Xenopus tropicalis: one gene and its partner. The protein of the gene in region 1 purifies or fractionates together with the protein of each later gene. This does not show direct contact. Links are inferred from orthologs where the notes say so. Each region holds a gene or a part of one and is shown on either strand. Other genes may lie near its edges.

Region 1 (3,500 bases):
CTGATAAGGAATCACCATGATATAAATATGGCTGCACTAACCCTCATTCTTTCTGTGTTTCTATACAACAGTACTTGTAGGCTGTGCCACATACTTTTTATGTGATAACAAAATATCCACAGAGAACATACCTTCCTTGGCTAGTAACCAAACCTACCAACAGGAACAGAAAACTGTATCATATCATAGTTTGGAGATGCTCCCTCAAAGAGGTCTAACAAGGGCTGTGTAGCAGTCAGGGACTATTTGGAAGTGGATATTAGTTTTTTTGGGGGAAACCAATTGAAACTCCTGTTGCACACTGTTAGAGCTGCGCACATCCCTTTACATATCTAACAGGTCAGTAGTAATCTGGGCACTTTGTAACAAAAAAGAGCAGACACAGCTCTGAAGGGAAACTTACTATTTCCTTATTATCTTTGTACTGGGTACTTACTTTGTAACAAAATCATTATAAATTATGAATAGTAAGCTCCTATCATTAAAAGCTTACTATGAATAATTTCTAATGATTTTGTTACAAAGTACCCAGTACAACGATAATGAAATACGTTTTCCTTCAGAGCTGTGTCTGCTCTTGCACTGTTTGAAACAAAAGCAGGAGGACACCCTAAACTGTGTTAGGCTATTTTGTTCCATGTACTTTCATTTGGGTTAAATGGTTCCAATGTGCAACTATGCCAAGCTATACTCAGTGGTGGGACAGTTGCTAATCAAGAATTACAGGAGATTCACTTTTCTGAAGGTGGAGCAGTAAGTTACAAATCTCCATATAGACTGTCTACCACAGTTCCTTGCAGGGGTCAACCCTGAAAATAAGTGACTTTTGGATGTTGTGATATTTGCTGTATATGGCATAACTAGCCAGCCGGGCACATGGATACAATGGTTAAGAAGAGAAGGTATTTCTAGTGACAAATACAAAGAAAATGGCTTCATGTAACTGCATACAATAATTTGTGGCCTAAAGAATCAATATCCAACACTAGTATAAGCCATAGAGTGTTAAAGTTGTTTATCTGTCCTTACAGCCCTGATAACTTAGTTTCAAGATAATATTTCATGGTTCTGACTTTCTTGTCCTTGAAATCTGTAATAAAATTATTAGAGACAACTGCACCCCTCTAAGCAGGAGCACTAATGTGCCAGGTCTAATGTTATATTGCAATTCTAAGTACATTGTGAGCATATGCATTATCCACGCTGTTGTCCTTAGGTCCCACCAGTGATGTGCTCCAGAAGGTAGATATTCAGCTTGTCGCCCAGGATATCTGTACCGAACTTTACCGCTACCAGATCTCACCAAGAATGCTTTGTGCTGGTTATCGTGATGGCAGTAAAGATGCATGCCAGGTATCTACACTAAAAGTATTTATTCTTTTACTTTCAGCACTGCCACAAGCCCACAGTATATTCTACTTCAAACACAGACAGATATTACAAATACATACTTTATTTACTTAAAAATAAATATTATAAACAATAATATCCTCATGATTAACTCTTAGATCCAGCCTATATATAGTTCATCCTGAAATGCAGCTTAATAAGTGCTCTTTTTGGCAAATGGGTTTATACCAGCGGCCAATCACTGACTTTGTACCTGTGACGGGCAAGTTCAACCCTTGTTATATTTTCCTTCACTCACCAGATATCATTCTATGCAAGACCTTTCTGCTTCAGTAATGATATTTGGCTTACCCTTTACATTCAAAGACGCCTTATGTGTAAGGGTGTTACCACTGGTGCCTATGACTAAGGGTGGTAACACACGAAACACATAAGGCTCTGGTCTTGTTGATTCCTCAAATAAAGCAGAATAAAGATGATTGATTTTAATAGAACATGTTACTGCTGACCCTCATTCCATAAATTGCTGTATGAGAGTTTGGGAACACTGAAGGATTGTGTAGCCCCTGCTCAGGAAGATATTGTGGAAAACTATGAGCACTATGAGAACTATGAGTTTTCTCCTCTCCACTTTAATAAGCCTCAGTTTGGCTGGTAGGATTCAGAATAATCAGTTATCTAATATTATCTAATAGTGAGCGTATAAAGAATTTTACATTGATTGTTTTTGTGTATTTCCTAGGGTGACTCCGGGAGCCCTTTGGTTTGTAAAACTGCCAGTGGGCGTTGGTTCCAAGCAGGTTTGGTGAGCTGGGGGGCTGGCTGTGGCATACCCAGATACTTTGGGGTGTATAGCCGCATAACAAGACTTGTACAATGGATCGAATCTATCACATTGTAAAATGAGTCATTTCTACATAATGAAATTAGAAAACAGTCAACAAAGTAGTGGAACTTCTAAGGATTAAAGAAAAAACAGAAGAATGTTTCAAAGCACCATTTGTGGAATCACATACAAGTTCATCAGTTAAATGTATTTGTTTTGTGAAGACTGACCACATGCCCACATTTGAATTAGAAGCTACTTTTTAATTTGTTTATTTTCAAGCTTCCTAGATAAACACGTTCTACATTTGTAACCTTCACTTCTAAGGAAACTAAATATAACATATAAGGCTTCATTGAGAAACTGAATATAATATATATTCATCTTCATCTGGCCATACACTGGCAGATCTCATGTTTGTTGAGGTCTCCAAATCAATGGATTTTTGTTTGCTTTGGCCAACCAAGAGGTGAGCCAAATAAGCCTTATCTAATCATTTGGCTCAGAGGTAACAATAGCATATGGTGGGTTCGTACAGACCTATCAAGGTATCATGGATCTTTGTCTGCTTGGCCAACCAAGGGGTGAGCCAAATAACCTTCATCTAATCATTTATCATAGAGTTAACAAAGATATCATATGGGGAGTTCGTAGAGAACTATCAGGAGATGACTGCATCCATGGCTTGGTGTAGTCATCCTCTAAAGAGATCTTTTAGTCTTTTCAATCTAAATAAGCTCTACACAGAGGACATCACAGAAAACATAATCATAGCCAATATCAGTCTTTGAATGGCAGCTACATGTCACCTATATTTAGTAGATACTACATGTAGCTGGCTAGAAACAGCTTTTATTGTTTCCTATCATGGTACCTGCTTGTACATTTAGCTACAAGGAGCAAATACTAATCTTCCTGTGTAATAGAGGCCTAGAAGCCAAAAAAATATCTAAAGCAAAAAAAAGAGCTTTGTTATTATTATTAATACTTCACATAAAGAATACAATAATGTATGGAGCTGTGCAGATCATAGATTTGGAGACATTGCAAATATCTCAGTCATATTAGTGCCCTGTTTGCAGGACTTGAACAGCCATCCGCCACAGGAACCACATGGCCATCTAAAACAGAATTATTCCCACCAATCAGCCATTTGGTCTGCTGAACCAAATCAAATATAAAGCCACCTACCGTAATAGACTTTATGTATATTAGACTGTAGACATATTGGTATCATTAGATACTAAAGAACTATCATTTCTTTAAGGGAGGTGATGTCATATGAAAAATTCAGTTGCTTGCACAGCAGGGTTTCCACTTTAAG
Region 2 (3,500 bases), on another chromosome or scaffold:
GTAGCCTATTTAAGATAAGATAAGGGGAAATACCCACAGAGGGTTAAGTTACCCTTTACAACAGTTTCATTAAATAATCCAACAGCCATTAGTATCACAGAGTGGTGTGTGGGCTCCAGTGTAGCCAGCAGGAAATCTCATGCCACAGAGCTAGTAAAACCCACAGAACCTGACACAGCTTGCATTTGGCCCACTTTGGGAAAACCCAGACCAGAACTCTTCCCTTACAGGAAATGTGACTTACAGATTGAATAGCACAGAACCTGAGCCCCGCAGCATTTCATCTGCTGGGAAACCGATACCGGGATTTTAATAAGCAGCTAAACCGGCACACAGAGCTTGCATTTCACTCGGTAACCGAAGCACGGAGCAGGGCGGCTACAGGGAAACTGATACAACCTTTAATATACATGGAAACTGGCCCATGGGACGTGCAGTGCTGTGTAATTCAACCGCAGAGCATTTAATCTACAGGGGAAAGCAACGCGCAGCAATAGCACGGCACAGTGTAACAAAGCCGCCGTGATTTTACTCTCTTAGTGGTGGGGGGGAATGTAATAAAAGTCACAAACTTTTGCATTGGGTCTAGTATCCTATAGCAACCAATTAATAGGTAGCATTAACTGACTGCTTGTTTAAAAAGCAAGAATATTATTGGTTGCTATGGGTTACTAGACCTGCTGTGATTTTTATAAATCCCAAAGGGGCGGGTATATAAAGAATGACGGCTTGTTAGGTTGTACCAGGTTTGGGTAATGGTCAGGATTTTGTCAACCCACACATTAGTACCTCCTACATTTTGGGGGGTGGGGGTCCAAGCCCACACTTAAGATCTCTATATCCCTACAGGAACTTGCTCTAAAGTTCCTGACATGGAAGCAACATATACATTTATTATGGTCCATCTGTAAACTTTCCCAAAAACTTGAAATTAAAGTGATAATGACACCTTCCATCTTTTCTCTGGATCAAACTCAGTATCACTTTAAAAACCTACTTAGCGCTATTTCTACTTTCTTAAACTACCCTCTTAGCCCTGCTTCACCCTCTGACTTACCTGTGTCCGACTCCATGATGCCTTCTTCCACTGCTGCTGAAGCTGTGATGTCACACTTGGGGGGCAGGGCTAAGACCTAATATGGCTGAAGCACCAATATAAACAATATCTCCCACCCATGCACAGATAAGTAGCAGGCAAATTGGGGTGGGGGTGGAGCAAGGGTTTTATGAATAGCACTATGTAGGCTTATTCCATGATACTGATATGTTCCTGTAAAAAGCTGGAATGTGTCAGCAGTATCACTTTGCTGTCCGGTTGCTAAGGTCAGTGATCCTGGAATCCAGAAGAAATATTTATTGGGAAGATATACCTTTCTGTTTATTCATTCTGGCACTGAAACAAATGCCTAGTTACAAGGGTCAGTCAACGTAGCCCAAAAAAATGTTATCTAACGATAGCACAAAGATAAAATACAGATTAATTGATACAATATAGGGTCAGGGAGGGCTTTGCCTTGGCCCCATACAGCCAATGTAGGCCATGTTTATTGCAGTCACTCTGTATTTTATATGTGGACCCATTTATTTTGTATGAATTGTTAGCATTTCTATTCTGCCTTTTTCCGGCCTGCGATTAAAAATGCTGGCTGTGGGGTCAGTGACCCCAGCAACCAACACACTGACAGGGAGGCTGCAATATTATTTCTTTCTATTGATGATTTCTCCAGTTAGTTTAGGTGGGCTCCCCCCTGTAGCAGTGCTGCCGCTGGATAATAAAATCTGGGGGTGATAATTTGCAGTAGGGTTTTTGGAAAGCGCGGTGACCTCACTCGGCGCTGCCGTCTCAGCTTACTCCCTTCCCAGTGCCAGCTTCCACACTTTCTCAGGACTGTGGGAATTTTCATAAGCGGCACTTAGCAGGCCTGCCAGCTGCGGGATTAGAACTGCTGGCACAGGCGCGGGATGACTCACTGAGTGCTGGACAACTGCCCACTCGTTTAAATACCACTTGAGATTTAAGAAGCGACGGCTCAGGCCGGCCAAGCTGGGATGTGTCATATCCATAATTTAGCCAGCTCCTAAATCTGCAATTACATCTAGTCCTTTTGCCCAAAATATTTCATCTGTGCCGAAAGCACCAAGCTCATTTTACGGCGATGAACCCTTAATTTCATCTTCCCTTGAGCAAGTGAGGCTTTCCTGGGAATCGCACTTTTTTGGGTTAAAAACAAAGGATTTCTAGTACAGTTATGGCACCTGTTATCCAGAATGCTCGGGACTCAGGGCTTTCTGGATAAGGGACCTTTCTGTAATTTGGATCTCCATACCTTAAGTTTACTAAAAAATGATTTAAACATGAAATAAACCCAATAGGGCTGTTCTGCCCCAATAAGGGGTAATTATATCTTAGTTGGGATCAAGTACAGGTACTGTTTTATTATTACAGAGAAAAGGGAATCATTTAACCATGAAATAAACCCAATAGGGCTGTTCTGCCCCCAATAAGGGGTAATTATATCTTAGTTGGGATCAAGTACAGGTACTGTTTTATTATTACAGAGAAAAGGGAATCATTTAACCATTAAATAAACCCAATAGGGCTGTTCTGCCCCCAATAAGGGGTAATTATATCTTAGTTGGGATCAAGTACAAGATACTGTTTTATTATTACAGAGAAAATGGAAATCATTTTTAAAAATTAGAATTATTTGCTTGTCTATACAGAAGAACATGCTGTATCTCCTGTTTTATATCAAGCTGATTCCTTACAGATTACCTGTTTATTTTACAGGCAGAGGATGAGTCGATGAGGAGGTGAAAGCAGAGGGCGATTGTGATAGATTGGAATGGGTAAACGCCATCTTCCAACATGTTTAGACAGTGTCCTTTTCAAGACGGTCCTTCTGCTTATCTTCTGCGAGCAAGGTAACGAGGGCTAATTACACCAACACGCATTAACCAGGAGGTGCATGTCATTTAGCATTTCCCCAATAAAGCTGACTAGGTCTTATCATTTCTCTATCTATAGTTTAAGTTGACCATGCACATTAGGTTCCACTGGTTTGCCATAGTGCTCCAATATGGACCTTGTCCAGAGGTATTTTCCACCTAGTTTAATAGATATGTGGGCCCATTCTAGCCATATATCAACTGGGTGTTTCTATGTTTGGCCCCATACATGGGACAACAAGATGCCAATTGACTAGTTGACAATGCACATTAGGATCCACTGGTTTTCCAAGGTCCCTAAATAGGTAGATCTGTACCTACATTTCTGCTGCAAGCCTAATAATGCTCTTTAATTTTCCTGCAGTGAATGCCCAGTGTAAGATCATCAAATGCAATTCAGAATATGTGTCTGCTACATTAAACTTGAGGGGTTCCGGCAGAAATGCAGAGATTCAGAAGTGCAATGCCCTGCGCTCCTATTCCCAATGTACCCGCAAAACTGCCCGCACCTGCCGCGGAGACCTGATCTACCACTCTGCAGTGCACATCAT

Evidence for each region.
Region 2: the proteins of tmprss6 (region 1) and hjv purify together in Homo sapiens (co-immunoprecipitation; 3 studies listed by IntAct). This does not show direct contact. The link is inferred for Xenopus tropicalis from reciprocal best matches to the Homo sapiens genes TMPRSS6 and HJV.

What each region holds. Positions count from the first base shown.
Region 1 is NC_030680.2:123,220,650-123,224,149, forward strand, and holds part of tmprss6 (transmembrane protease serine 6), read left to right. Parts: intron 1-1,216; coding exon 1,217-1,353; intron 1,354-2,092; coding exon 2,093-2,251; 3' UTR 2,252-3,500. UniProt on the Homo sapiens protein: Membrane-bound serine protease. Through the cleavage of cell surface hemojuvelin (HJV), a regulator of the expression of the iron absorption-regulating hormone hepicidin/HAMP, plays a role in iron homeostasis.
Region 2 is NC_030684.2:128,550,467-128,553,966, reverse strand, and holds part of hjv (hemojuvelin), read left to right. Parts: intron 1-2,791; 5' UTR 2,792-2,846; coding exon 2,847-2,925; intron 2,926-3,313; coding exon 3,314-3,500. UniProt on the Homo sapiens protein: Acts as a bone morphogenetic protein (BMP) coreceptor. Through enhancement of BMP signaling regulates hepcidin (HAMP) expression and regulates iron homeostasis.